Linked DNA regions of Callithrix jacchus. The protein of the gene in region 2 binds, or shares a complex with, the protein of the main gene of each other region. Links are inferred from orthologs where the notes say so. Each region holds a gene or a part of one and is shown on either strand. Other genes may lie near its edges.

Region 1 (7,592 bases), on a different chromosome or scaffold from region 2:
AAAGTGAGCTGGTGTGCTGCTGCTGGGCTGTGTCACAGCTACTCGGGAGGCTGAAGTGGGAGGATCGCTTGAGCCTGGGAGGTTTAGGCTGCAGAGAGACGAGACTGTGTCACCACACTCCAGCCTGGAGAGACAGTGTGAGAATCTGTCTCAAAAAAGAAAAAAGGCAAAGGCCAGGCACAATGGATCACCCCTATAATCCCAGCACTTTGGGAGGCTGAGGCAGGTGGATCACAAAGTCAGGAGTTCGAGACCAGCCTGGCCAATATTGTGAAACCCCGTCTCTACTAAAAATACAAAAATTAAGTTGCCGGGCGTGGTGGCTCAAGCCTGTAATCCCAGCACTTTCGGAGGCCAAGGCAGGTGGATCACGAGGTCAAGAGATCGAGACCATCCTGGTCAACATGGTGAAACCCCATCTCTACTAAAAAATACAAAAAATTAGCTGGGCATGGTGGCGCATGCCTGTAATCCCAGCTACTTAGGAGGCTGAGGCAGGAGAATTGCCTGAACCCAGGAGGCGGAGGTTGCGGTGAGCCGAGATCGCGCCATTACACTCCAGCCTGGGTAACAAGAGCGAAACTCTGTTTCAAAAAAAAAATAATAATACAAAAGTTAGCTGGGTGTGGTCGTGAGCACCTGTGGACTACAGGGAGGCTGAGGCAGGATTCCTTGAACCGGGAGGCAGTGGTTGCAGTGAGCCAAGATCATGCTACTGCACTCCTGTGTGGGCGACAGAGTGAGACTCTGTCACACACACACACACAAAGGCAAGGAAGCCAGGAGTTTATCCTGGGGGGGTCTCTGGGGAGCCATGTGAAGGCTGTGAGCGGGCGGGGGGCAGGGAGTGCTGGGTTCAGAAGGACGCCTGAGGAAGCGGGGGCAGACCATGGGCTTCAGTGGGAGGCCAACTGAGGGTCCTGGCAGGAGCCCTGAGGCAGGGGTCGTGGCGGGGGAGAGGACGAACAGCTTGGGCTGCAGGGGGCTCACCCTTCCACTCCAGGTTTCCGCGGCCCCTCTCCAGGTGCTCCCGCAGCCGGTAGGGGCAGGAGTGTAGCAGGAAAGTGAGCTCCTTGCTGGCCGCCTTGTCCTGCTGCTGCCACCGCTGACTGATGGCCAGGGCTTCAGGCCAGTCCCCACCCCAGGTGCCCTGCTTGAGGTCGAAACTCATGAACTCCTCGCCGTTCAGAGCGAACTTGGCGGTGGGCACCGAGGCGTTGTCAGGACCCAGTTCACAGCCCAGCAGCCCCTGCAGGGTGTAGGGACCTGGGGCCCCCACACGCAGGTAAGCGGGGCCCAGAAGCACGGCCCCAGCCTCTCGCCCCTTGAGACCCAGGAGTCCGAGTCTCACCTTTGCCATCCAAAGCTTTGAAAGCTTCCAGAAAGAGCTTCTCCTTCATCCTCAGATCTGTGGTTTCTTTCTCCCAATACCAGGACACTTGGTTTTCCCAGACCCAAGCTCCACAGGGCTCCGCCTGGCCCCGGAGACTGCTGTAGCTCAGGTACTGCTGCGGGCCCAGCCAGCCCGACGCCCAGAAGGCAGGAGTCCCCGGGGCAGGCGAGGACACTGCGGTGAGGTGGTACAGGAGGGAGAGGTGGCTCTCTGCAGACAAAGACAGAGCTGAAGCGAGCACACGGGTGGGAACTAGACTGCAGTGGGACAGACACCCAGGGAGGGAGAAGAATCTATTATGGAGGGAGGGGGACAGATTCCGAGAGAGGAACAGAAACCCAGAGAGAGGAGGACAGAGACCCAGAGAGAGGGGAACAGAGATCCAGAGAGGGGAATAGAGACCCAGAGAGAGAGGGGGACAGAGACCCAGAGAGAGGGGAACAGAGATCCAGAAAGAGAGGAGGGGACAGAGACCACAGAGAGAGGGGGACAGAGACCCAGAGAGAGAGGGGGACAGAGACCCAGAGAGAGGAGGGGACAGAGACCCACAGAGAGAGGGGGAAGACAGAGACCACAGAAAGGGGGGAACAGAGACCCAGAGAGAGGGGGACAGAGACCCAGAGAGAGAGGGGGAGACACAGACGGGGGGAAGGGACAGACCCAGAGAGAGAGAAGGGCACGGAGACCCAGAGACAGACGCGACAGGCGGTTCGCAGCCTTAGGCCGGGGAGGAGACCGAGAGAAAGGGAACGGAGTGGAGGAGGCAGCGCTCGGCGCTCCCGGGGAACTCGGGTCCCGCTGGCCTCGCCCCGTCCCGCCTGGGGCCGCCTCCCGCCGCCCGCCCGCTGCACGGCCCCGGCCCGGAGCGGCCCTCACCTGCGCCCAGGCTCCCAGGCAGGAGGAACAGCAGGAGCCCCAGCACCCAGGGCTGCGGCCGCGGGAGCCCCATGCTGAGAGGACGACCTGGGGCGGGAGGGGGCGCGTGACTCCTCCCGACCCCCGGCCCGCCCCTTCCTCCGAGGCTCCGCGGGCAGGGCCGGACCGGGACGCCGACTAGGGGCTCTGCGGGCTCCGTCCCGACGGCCAGCAACGCCCGCCTCCCACCCGAAGAACTTTCACCCCTAAACTGGAGCGCCGCTGGTTAATTAGTTACAGAAACTTGATAGGCTGAGAGTCCAGGCCCCGCCCCTTCCACCGCCTTCAAGCCCCAGCCCCTCCTCCTTCAGACCCAGGAGTCCAGGCTCCTGCCCCTCCTCCCTCAGATCTAGGAATCCAGGCCCCTGTCCCTCCTCCCTCAGACCCGGGAGTCCAGGCCCCCAGCCCCTCCTCCCTCAGATCTAGGAATCCAGGCCCCTGTCCCTCCTCCCTCAGACCCGGGAGTCCAGGCCCCCAGCCCCTCCTCCCTCAGACCCGGGAGTCCAGGCCCCCAGCCCCTCCTCCCTCAGATCTAGGAATCCAGGCCCCTGTCCCTCCTCCCTCAGACCCGGGAGTCCAGGCCCCCAGCCCCTCCTCCCTCAGATCTAGGAATCCAGGCCCCTGTCCCTCCTCCCTCAGACCCGGGAGTCCAGGCCCCCAGCCCCTCCTCCCTCAGACCCGGGAGTCCAGGCCCCCAGCCCCTCCTCCCTCAGATCTAGGAATCCAGGCCCCTGTCCCTCCTCCTTCACCTCAGACCCGGGAGTCCAGGCCCCCAGCCCCTCCTCCCTCAGATCTAGGAATCCAGGCCCCTGTCCCTCCTCCCTCAGACCCGGGAGTCCAGGCCCCCAGCCCCTCCTCCCTCAGATCTAGGAATCCAGGCCCCTGTCCCTCCTCCTTCACCTCAGACCCGGGAGTCCAGGCCCCCAGCCCCTCCTCCCTCAGATCTAGGAATCCAGGCCCCCAGCCCCTCCTCCCTCAGATCTAGGAATCCAGGCCCCTGTCCCTCCTCCCTCAGACCCGGGAGTCCAGGCCCCCAGCCCCTCCTCCCTCAGATCTAGGAATCCAGGCCCCTGTCCCTCCTCCCTCAGACCCGGGAGTCCAGGCCCCCAGCCCCTCCTCCCTCAGATCTAGGAATCCAGGCCCCTGTCCCTCCTCCTTCACCTCAGACCCGGGAGTCCAGGCCCCCAGCCCCTCCTCCCTCAGATCTAGGAATCCAGGCCCCCAGCCCCTCCTCCCTCAGATCTAGGAATCCAGGCCCCTGTCCCTCCTCCCTCAGACCCGGGAGTCCAGGCCCCCAGCCCCTCCTCCCTCAGATCTAGGAATCCAGGCTCCTGCCCCTCCTCCGTCAGACCCGGGAGTCCAGACCCCCAGCCCCTCCTCCCTCAGATCTAGGAATCCAGGCCCCTGTCCCACCTCCGTCAGACCCGGGAGTCCAGGCCACCAGCCCCTCCTCCCTCAGATCTAGGAATCCAGGCTCCTACCCCTCCTCCCTCAGACCCGGGAGTCCAGACCCCCAGCCCCTCCTCCCTCAGACCCAGGAATCCAGGCCTCCAGCCCCAACTCCCTCAGACCCGGGAGTCCAGACCCCAGCCCCTCCTCCCTCAGACCCAGGAGTCCGGACCCCCAGCCCTCCTCCCTCAGACCCAGGAGTCCAGACCCCCCAGCCCTCCTCCCTCAGTTGGGCCCTGTTCTGCTCACGTTCCCTTCAGCCTCGCTCTCTTCCTGCCTGCGGCCCTGGCTGGCTCCAGGCTCCCGTGACTGGAGACCCCGGTTCCTCTCTCACATCCTGTGGGAGGGGAGGCTGCTGCTCCCTGAGTCCAACAAAATCCAGCCCCACCCCCCAGTTGCAGGGCACACCCCAGGCCCCAGGCCCAGCCTGTTTGTTTCTCAAAACGTTTGTGGTTCTTTTTCCTCCTTCTCCATGGTTCCTGTTTTTTACTTGGAGGGTGCCCACCTCCCAGGGAATTCTTGGCAGAGCTAGGAAAGGAACTGGACGCTCCCAGAGTCCACAACTTGGAGGTCTCTGGATCCTCCTCCTGCCCCTTTGTATCTCCGTGGCCCTCCCCAGCGCCCACTGTTCATCAGAACCTTCTGGAAGCCTCCATAGTGTCTCCTTCAAGCCCCGCCGCATCCCCTTAAAAAGTTCCTGCAGGTGCTCTTTAACATCCTGATGGGGCTTCAGTGGCCACACAGTCCCCATAGCTGCGGCCCCACCCACACTCCTGCTACAAAGCTCCCTATGCACTTGTTTCACTGGGGTAAAATATTCCAAATATTTATCCTTACTGGCCGGGCGCAGTAGCTCACGCCTGTAATCCCAGGACTTTGGGAGGCCGAGGTGGGCAGATCACGAGGTCAGGAGATGGAGACCATCTTGGCCAACATGGTGAAACCCCATCTCTACTAAAAATACAAAAATTAGCCGGGTGTGGTGGTGCGTGCCTGTAATCCCAGCTACTTTCGAGGCTGAGGCAGGAGAATTGCTTGAACCTGGGAGGCGGAGATTGCAGTTAGCGGGATGGTGCCATGCACCCTGTCACCATACACTCCAGCCTGGTGACAGAGCAAAACTCCGTCTCAAAAAAAAAAAAAAAAAAAAACTGGGCTGGGCTTGGTGGCTCACGCCTGTAATCCCAGCACTTTGGGAGGCTGAGGCGGGTAGATCACGAGGTCAAGAGATCGAGACCATCCTGGTCAACAAGGTGAAACCCCGTCTCTACTAAAAATACAAAAAAGAGCTGGGCATGGTGGTGCGCGCCTGTAGTCCCAGCTACTCAGGAGGCTGAGGCAGGAGAATTGCTTGAACCCAGGAGGCGGAGGTTGCGGTGAGCCGAAATCGTGCCATTGCACTCTAGTCTGGGTAACAAGAGCAAAACTCTGTCTCAAAAAAAAAAAAAAATTTACCCTTACTGTCATTTAATACATTTACAATGCTTTGCAACTGTCACCTCTATCGAGTTGCAGAGCTTTTTTATCACCCCCAAACAGAAGGTCTGCTCCCGTTAACCACCCCGCTCCCAGCCCCCAGCCACCATTCCTCTGCTTTCTGTCTCAATAGATTCGCCGATTCTGCACATTTCATAGAAATTGAATCATATAACAAACATGAAGTCTTTTCTTTCTTTCTTTTTAAGTTGAGATAGGGTTTGGCTGGATTGCAGTGGAACAATCATGGTTCACTGTAGCCTCAACCTCTCAGGTCAAGCGCTCCACCTGCTTCAGCCTCCCCAAGTAGCTGGAATTACAGGCACCCGCCACCAGGCCCAGCTAATTTTTGCATTTTTGCAGAGATAGTGCCCCGCTATGTTGCCCAGGCTGGTCTCAAACTGAGGGGCTCAAGACAGCCTCCCACCTTGGCCTCCCAAAGTGCTGGGATGACCGTGTGAGCCACCACACCTGGTCTGTTTTTAGTTCTCTTGGGTATACACCGGGAGTGGGACTGCTGGGTCAGGCTCTCTGGAAAACAGAACCCACAGAATGTGTATATGCATACACAGAGAGAGATTCATTTTAGGAACTGGTCTCCAGGATTAGTGGACAATTAGCTGGTTCAGAGTCTGATGGGACGCCAGGCGTGGTGGTGCATGCCTGTAATTCCAGCACTTTGGGAGGCCAAGGTGGGAGGATCGCTTGAGTCCAGGAGTTTGAGACCAACCTGGGCAACATAGGGAGACCCTGTCTCTATTTACAAAAAAAAAAGAAAAAAAAAAAGGCCGGGCGTGGTGGCTCACGCCTGTAATCCTAACACTTTGGGAGGGCGAGGCAGGCGGATCACCCGAGGTCAGGAGTTCGAAACCAGTATGTCGAAACCCTGTCTGTACTAAAAATTAGCCTGGCCCGGTCGTGGGCACCTGTAATCCCAGCTACTCGGGAGGCTGAGGCAGGAGAATCATTTGAACCTGGGATTTGGAGGTTTCAGTGAGCCGAGATCACGCCTTAACACCCCAGCCTGGGCAACAGACCGAGACTTTGTCTCAAAAACAACAACAAAAAACTTAACCATCAGGTAAATCTCTAATCTGTGCTCTCCTTGTCACGAATGTCTTCACCTTCCTGATTCTCCCAGAGTCCTGCGAGAAGATCCACAGAGAACCGCCCGAGGCCCGCTCCTAAGACACAGAAAGAACATGCTTTAACCTCCCGAGTACCCTGATTACAGCATCCTCAGCTCTTCCCAAAAATACCCTGAGGCACCTGCCCTGTCCTTAGCTGTCCCCTCTGGTTTCCTTGGGATCCTGTAAAATCTTCAGGACATTCTTCCAGCAGCCCCTGGGGCCCATTTTACGGTTCTTTGGACCCTGACGGAGTCCTCAACGGCCTGTTTCAGTGCCCCCAGGAGCCTGCTCTGCTTTTCCTGGAAGTCTGCCATCACTGTGGGGTCCTCCTCTAAAACCAGCCTTAGCTCTCATGTCCCCAGGGCCCTGCTGTAATATTACCAGGACATTCAGAAAGCTCATTTTTTTTTTCTTTTTTTTTAAAAGTGGGGTTTGACTATGTTGTCCAGGCTGGTCTTGAACTTCTGACCTCGTGATCCGCCTGCCTTGGCCTTCCAAAGTGCTGGGATTACAGGCATGAGCCACTGTGCCTGGCCTTCGGAAAGCTTCTTGAACCACCTAGGATACTCACAGGTTTTGTGCTCTTGCTGGAGGCTCCAGGGAAGAATCCGTGTTTTTGCCTTTCCCAGCCTCTAGAGGGCGCCAGCATTCCTTGGCTCATGGCCCACTGCTCCATCTTCAAGGCCCGCAGCACAGCATCCTCTCCCCTCTCTGACCCGGATGTCCATCCTCAGGTCTTCTCTCTACCATGTGGACTGCCTGGCCTCCCTCTCTGAAGGAGTCCTGTGATTATGCTTAGGGCCACTTGGCTGATCCAAGATCATCTCTCCATCTGAAGACCTTTCACCTAATCACGTCACAAAGTCCCTTTTTCTATACAAGGCCACAGTCACAGGTTTTGGGGGATTAGGGCATGGACGTCTTTGAGGCCGTGCTTCAGCCCGCCATGGTCATCTGGGGCATCTTTCCTTGCCCCATTCTGATCTCCTCTCCTTGCTATTACAGTGGCCTGGGCTTTAGCCAGGAGGCCTCCCAGGGGTCTGCCTAGACATTCCTCATCACAGCCGTCCTTCCTAAAACTGAAGAAAAAGACCTCAAAGTTGCAGTGAGCCATGATAGTGTTATCACTCCAGCCTGGATGACTGAGCGATACCCTGAAGAAAAAGGAAAAGGCGGGCTGGGTGCGGTGGCTCACGCCTGTAATCCCAGCACTTTGGGAGGCTGAGGCA
Region 2 (7,122 bases):
CATAGTTGCTTCCCTCAAGTAGATTACAGTCATATGTTGACTTTTAATGGTGATTGACATTCTTAATACATTATTATTATGTATTAGATACCATGTCAGATTAATTATGTTTTATTACTTTTAATTTAATCCTTTAACTACCCCTATTGAGTCAGATATATTTCCTCCCATTTCCTACTTGTATCTTTCAAATTTAGCATCTGAAGCTCTCTCCAGGTTTTATTGAAAAAAGAAAGAAAGAAATGTATGAATGTCACTGAATTAGGTAACTCACTTTCCCAAGATTATACAAGTGGTACAGCTGGAAGTCAAAGCCAGGTTTAACTAGTTGTTCAGAAGCAAGTTTTCCCCCCTACACTAACCTATTACTCTCAGATGGAGATAATATGACAAATGGAGCATAGGAACATTTTAGTTGATTCTGACCAAGTGTTCTCTGTTTTATTTTCTATGTTAGACAGTTTCTTGCCTGGCTGAAAACACATTGACTTCTTTTTTTTTTTCAGGCTATTAGTTCGTTACACCAAGAAAGTACCCCAAGTGTCAACTCCAACTCTTGTAGAGGTCTCAAGAAACCTAGGAAAAGTGGGCACCAAATGTTGTAAACAGCCTGAAGCAAAAAGAATGCCCTGTGTAGAAGACTATGTGAGTCTTTAAAAAACATAATAAATTAAAAACACAAAATTTTACCTTTAGATATTGATAATGCTGACTTTTAGGAGCATAAGGGAGTAATGTGTGTGTTCATGTTTTTGTGCGTGTGTGTGTGTGTGTGTGTGTGTGTGTGTGTGCATGTATGTGTGCTATTGGCAGCCAGGGCCCCAGAGATGATAAATTGTTTTTTAAAAATTTATGCATTTTCAGGGTTCAATCCTAATGTTCTCTAAATTTTTACTTTCTTTGGGGGATCTATTCTTTAATGTATCATTATAGGACTATTTCTTCTTCACTGTAACACATGTCTCAGCACATATTGCCTGAAATTATTTTCATCAATTGTTTTCTCAAGCAAATTATTCTTGAAATGTAGACATTTAATTAAAAGGAAGAGACTTTTGAAAGTCCTTATTTGTAGTTTAAACACAAGTCACTGCCTCAAATCAATTTTGGATTCAACATTGCTAGTTGAAACATAATACTTATTTTGGTGCACTGGAAAGTCAGAAGTTCATGGAAAATTTTCAGCTTTAACTCTTTTGAATTTTTGCTCTCCTGCCTGTTCTTTAGCTGTCCGTGGTCCTGAACCAGTTGTGTGTGCTGCATGAGAAAACACCAGTAAGTGACAGAGTCACCAAATGCTGCACGGAATCCCTGGTGAACAGGCGACCATGCTTTTCTGCTCTGGAAGTCGATGAAACATATCTTCCCAAAGCGTTTAATGCTGAAACATTCACCTTCCATGCAGATATGTGCACACTTTCTGAGAAGGAGCAACAAGTCAAGAAACAAACGTGAGAAGTATTTCATTACTGCACGTGTTTGTAGTCTTGATGGCAAGAACTGTCAATTCAAATTATTAACTTTTCCTGAAGTAGTGATTACATTTCTTAGAGGAAAGTATTGCCATTATTATGCTGATAAAAGTACCCAGAATAAGATGAATAACTTTTTAAAGACAAAATCCTATGTTATAATATTCCTAAAATTATTCAGAGTAATATTGAGGAGTAAAGCCACCATAGAATAACATCTTAGGCCATGATCAGTAGAAAAAGGTGAACAATTAACTGATAAATTTGCACACATGGCAACTTATTTAGTAGGAACCATAGGATAATTTATTTCTAGATGTAAATAATTATTTTAAGTTTGCCCTATGGTGACCCCACACATGAGACAAACACCCAAGATGTGATTTTTATGAAAAAGACTTGAATAAAAAACATCTAGAAATGCAAGCCCTGAAGCTTAACTCATTATTGCTATCACAGGGGTTAGAATTGCATGAAATTTAGCAATAGAAAGTTGCTGTCATCTCTGGTGGGCTGTAATCACGGTCTAGGCTTAAGAGTAATATTGCAAAACCTGTCATGCCCACACAAATCTCTCTCTGGCACTGTTGTCTTTGCAGATGTCAATGAAAGAGAACCAGAAGCTCCAATGAGTTTGGATAGCCTTATTTTCTATAGCCTTTCCATTAATGACTTTGAATGGAGCAAAGTTTAAAGACCAAATATAAAGACTCTCATCTTTATAGATGAGAAAAATTTTAAATAAATTCCAAGATAATTAAATTTTAAGGATAAGTTTTAGCTCTTAAATAGCTATAAAACCCAATATAACATAATATGGCACGTCCAAAATCTGAATAATATATAATTGCAATGACATACTCCTTTTCAGAGCTGTACTGAAAAGATATTTGTTGATACTACATAACATGATGAGTGGTTTATACTGATTATTTCATCTGATCTCCATGAAGGTGGATTTTATTATCCTCATCATGCAGATGAGAATATTAAGACTTATAGAGTTATGCCTGAGTGCCAAAGTACTCAGAGTTGGGGGTTCCAAGATTTATAATCTTAAATGATGGGACTACCATCCTTACTATCTCCATTTTTCTATGTGTGAGTAATGTTTTTCCTGTTTTTCTTTTTCTTTTTCCATTCTAACTCAGTGCACTTGCTGAGCTCGTGAAACACAAGCCCAAGGCAACAAACGAGCAACTGAAAACTGTTATGGAGGATTTCGCAGCTTTCGTAGAGAAGTGCTGCAAGGCTGACGATAAGGAGGCTTGCTTTGCTGAGGAGGTACTACAGTTATCTTCATTTTAATATGTCCAGTCTTCATTTTTGCATGTTTGGTTAGGCTAGGGTTTAGGGATTTCTATATCAAAGGAAACTCTGTACATGTGGGACAGGGATCTTATTTTATAAACAATTGTCTTACAAGATGAATAAAATAGCTGTTTGTTTTATCTCCTGCTCTATTGTGCCATCCTGTTAAATGTTTATAATGCCTGTTCTGTTTCCAAATTTGTGATGTTTATGAATATTGGTAGGAATATTTTTAAGGCCTGATCATTAAATCAAAACATTAATTTATTTAAACATTTTCTTGAAAAGTGGTGGTTTGTGATTTAGTTGATTTTATAGGTTACTGGGAGAATTTACATTCAAATGTCTAATCACTTAATATTGTCCCTTGTGGCCTGACAATACTTTTTTTTATTCCTTTGGGGACAACTATGTCTGTGAGCTTTCTTCTAGAGATTATAGTAGTGAATTGGAATTAAAGGATATGATGCATATGAAATCATTTTGCAATCATCAATAGCTTCATAAATGCTAGTTTTGTATTCTAATAGTAATGCTAATATTTTCCTGATATCTGTATTTCTTTTTATTCAGGGTCCAAAACTTGTTGCTGCAAGTGAAACTGCCTTAGCCTAAAGACATGGTAACTAAGAGCATCTCAGGTAACTACATTTTGAATTTTTTTAAAAAAGTAACTATAATAATAATAATTATTAAAAGAGCAAAGATTGACCATTTCCAAGAGCCATATAGACCAGTACCAACCACTATTCTAAACTATTTATATACGTATATATTAGCTTTAAAAATTCTCAAAATAGTTGCTGAGTTGGGAACTATTATTATTTCTATTTTGTAGATGAGAAAATGAAGGTAAACATCAAAGTATAGGTTAAGTAATTTTCCAAAGGTTCACCCAGCTAGTGAATGGTGGAGACAAAATACAAAATTCAAACCAAAGTCTAAGTGTTACCCATTATCCTATCCTAACTTATATGTCCTATTCTAACTTATATCATTAGTATTAGAGAATAGTAATTCCTAGAGTATTCCCTGAAGAGCCATCCAAGTAAGTTATGGCTCAGCAGGGAATACTCTAGGAATTAGGCCAAACCATACGAAAGAGGCCTTTATAGGGCAAATACAGTTGAATATCAGTTATTTCATATGGTTCAACTTAATAGTTCAACTAATTCTTTCCATTGGACAATATGATGGATCTGCCTTCTGTGAACTTTATAGTGAACAATCTGCTATTAAATTTCCAATTTGTCAACAAGCTGAGCTTTAATAGGACTTATCTTTTTATGACAAAAGGGCCCACTTTAAAATGTAGATGTTCGAGCATAAGCATGTTTTACCTATTTTGTGTGAATTATTTTGGAAGAATTAAAAAATAGAACCACAACAGAACATGTTGTTAAAAATAAGTTATTCAACTACTTTAAAAAAATAGAGATGGGAGATATCTCTTTGTTGCCCAGGCTGGTCTCAAACTCCTGGGCTCAAGCAATCCTCCCACCTCAGCTCCACCCAAAAAGTACCGGCATTACAGGTGTGAACCACCATGCTGGCTTCAACTACTTTTTAAACATGAGTTATTTTCATATTTTCCAAACTGACTGTGATGTCTACTCTACTATTATGATTTAACTTCCTCTTTGCCCATATGACAATACCTACATATGCATTCAGGCAAGAAAGAAACTTTGCATCTCTACAAATTTGGTAGTGTGAAGATGTGATTTGTTTTGGTCCTAAGTGGAAAGATTTTCTTCATAAAGTTCTAACTTTGAGAAGATATGTTTTTGCTTGTAATAACTTAGGTAAGATATAGAGGTTGAATAAATAACTCTGAGGAGTGATGATGAAAAGCCTCTGACTTTGAAGCTTGAGTCTGATGGCACCAATGGTGTTCCCTTTCACCAATGGTGAAAAAGGAGCTTCACAACTTTTATTGGTGTGTCCTTTTGCCTAGCTCAACAAAAGGAGAATTCAGCAGCCATAAGACTACGACAGGCTTAAATTATTTTCACTGGCGGAAATTGCAGAAAGATGGCCTAAGTAATTTGGCATTTATTTTAATAGATTTGAAAAACACAGCCATTTTGCAAATAGGGCTGATATTTGTCCTTTTGTTTTTCAGCCTATCACGAGAATAAGAGAAAGAAAATAAAGATCAAAAGCTTATTCATCTGTTTTTCTTTTTTGTTGGTGTCAAGCCAACACCCTGTCTAAGAAACATAAATTTCTTTGATCATTTTGCCTCTTTTCTCTGTGCTTCAATTAATAAAAAATGAAAAGAATCTAAAAAAGTGGTCCAGCACTGTTATTTTTCAAAGGTGTGTTGCTATCCTGAAAATTCTGTAGGTTCTGTGGAAGTTCCAATGCTCTATCTTATTCCACTTCAGTAGAGGATTTCTAGTTTCTCGTGGGCTAATTAAATAAAACATTAATACTCTTCCAAGTTATGGATTACAAATATTAAAAATAATATTTTGATATAATAACTATGAATAAAAGAACAAAAACTATGGTATAGGTAAGGAATGTAAAACATGGCTTTTCTCTCAGAAAAAAACAGTTCTAAAATTCATATGGAATCAAAAACAAGAGCCTGCAGAGCCAAAGCAACACTAAGCAAAAACAACAAATCTGGAAGGATTGAATTACCTGATTTCAACCTATACAAGGGCATAGTCACCAAAACAGCATGGTACTGGTATAAAAATAAGCATATAGACCAGTAGGAACAGAATAGAGAACCCAGAAAGAAACCCATATACTTGTAGCCAACTGATCTTAGACAAAGCAAACAAAAACATTAAGTGGGGAAAAGACACCTTTTCAACAAATGGTGCTAGAATAATTGGCAACCATACGTAGGACAATGAGGCTAGATCCTTATCTCTCACCTTATACAAAAATCAACTCAAGATGGATTAGGAGCTTAAATTGAGATCTAAAACTATAATAATTCTAGACAGTAACATTGGAAAAACACTTCTATATATGAGCTTAGGCAAGGATTTCATGACCAAAAACACAAAAGCAACTGCAATAAAATCAAAGATAAATTGCTGGGACTTAATTAAACTAAAAAGTTTTGCATGGCAAGAGAAACAGTCAGCTGAGTAAACAGACAACCCACAGAGTGGGGAAAAAAATCTCACTATCTACACATCTGACAAAGGACTAATATCCAGACTACAATGAACTCAAACAAATCAACAAGAAAAAACAATTCCATCAAAAAGTGGGCTAAGGACATGAATAGACAATTCTCAAAAGACTTAAAAATGAACAACAAACATGAAGAAATGCTCAACATCACTAATGATCAGGGAAATGCAAATTAAAGCCACAGTATGATACACCTTACCTCTGCAAGAATGGCCATAATCAAAAAATTTAAAAATAGTAGATGTTGGCACAGATGCAGTGAACAGGGAACACTTCTACACTGCTGGTGGGCACGTAAACTGGTACAATGCTATGGAAAACAGTGTGAAGATTCCTGAAAGAACTGAAAAAGAAGTACCATTTGATTCAATAATCCCACTATGGGGTATCTACCCAGAGGATAATAAGTCATTATACAAAAAAGATACGTGCACATGCATGTTATAGCAGCACAATTCACAATTGCAAAAACATGGAACCAACCCAAATGCCCATCAGTCAATGAGTGAATGAAGAAGTTGTGGTATATATGTATATAAGACACACACACACACACACACACACACACACACAATGGAGTACCACTTAACTATAAAAAAGAACCAATTAATGATATTTGTAGTGATTTGGATGAGATTGGAGACTATGATTTTAAGTGAAGTAACTCAGGAATGGAAAACCAAACATTGTTTGTTCTCACTCATAAGTGGAAGCTAAATTATGAGGCTGCAAAGGCATAAGAATGACGCAATGCACTTTGGCGACCAAGGAGAAAAGGGTGGGAAGGGAGTAAGAGAGAAAAGACTACAAATATGGTGCAGTGTATACTGCTCGGGTGATGGATGCATCAAAATCTCACGAATCACCACTAAAGAACTTACTTGTGTAACTAAATGCCACCTGTTCCCCAATAACCTATGGAAAGAAAAAATTTTTTAAAATAATAAAATAGCTAATAATATTACAAAATACCCATATGATGCAATGTTATACCATCACTCAATAGCATTTTCAGGGCCATTTGTAATGTAGGTGTTAAATTTATTAAAGACTTATTATTTGCCAAAAAAATAAAACATGCTTTTCTTTTTGCTTTTTTAAATGGGGTCACCTGGAGATAAAACCCGCCCCTGAGGGACTAGGAATTTAATGCCCACTGAGCCAGGGGAGCAAACAA

What was found. Proteins that work in one complex are often made in the same cells at the same time.
Region 1: the proteins of ALB (region 2) and FCGRT are in contact, whole or in part, in a crystal structure (PDB 6QIO), measured with the Homo sapiens proteins. The link is inferred for Callithrix jacchus from reciprocal best matches to the Homo sapiens genes ALB and FCGRT. Residues at the interface, in NP_000468.1 of Homo sapiens: Arg105, Glu106, Thr107, Tyr108, Gly109, Glu110, Asp113, Asn133, Asn135, Gln441, Ser443, Pro445, Thr446, Glu449, Leu484, Leu487, His488, Thr491, Pro492, Val493, Tyr521, Val522, Pro523, Lys524, Thr530, Phe531, Thr532, Phe533, His534, Asp536; in NP_001129491.1 of Homo sapiens: Arg65, Glu67, Glu69, Gly72, Ala73, Val75, Trp76, Gln79, Val80, Ser81, Trp82, Trp84, Glu85, Lys86, Thr89, Arg92, Asn172, Lys173, Leu175, Thr176, Leu179, Phe180, His184, Glu188, Arg192, Gly195, Asn196, Trp199, Lys200, Glu201.

The regions. Positions count from the first base shown.
Region 1 is NC_133523.1:43,278,010-43,285,601, reverse strand, and holds the start of FCGRT (IgG receptor FcRn large subunit p51), read right to left. Parts: upstream 4,097-7,592; 5' UTR 4,007-4,096; intron 2,522-4,006; exon of another isoform or gene 2,357-2,521; 5' UTR 2,343-2,356; coding exon 2,270-2,342; intron 1,622-2,269; coding exon 1,352-1,621; intron 1,267-1,351; coding exon 991-1,266; intron 1-990. UniProt on the Homo sapiens protein: Cell surface receptor that transfers passive humoral immunity from the mother to the newborn. Binds to the Fc region of monomeric immunoglobulin gamma and mediates its selective uptake from milk.
Region 2 is NC_133504.1:124,639,735-124,646,856, reverse strand, and holds the end of ALB (albumin), read left to right. Parts: intron 1-506; coding exon 507-645; intron 646-1,227; coding exon 1,228-1,451; intron 1,452-2,623; coding exon 2,624-2,756; intron 2,757-3,356; coding exon 3,357-3,398; 3' UTR 3,399-3,424; intron 3,425-4,908; 3' UTR 4,909-5,077; downstream 5,078-7,122. UniProt on the Homo sapiens protein: Binds water, Ca(2+), Na(+), K(+), fatty acids, hormones, bilirubin and drugs. Its main function is the regulation of the colloidal osmotic pressure of blood. Major zinc transporter in plasma, typically binds about 80% of all plasma zinc.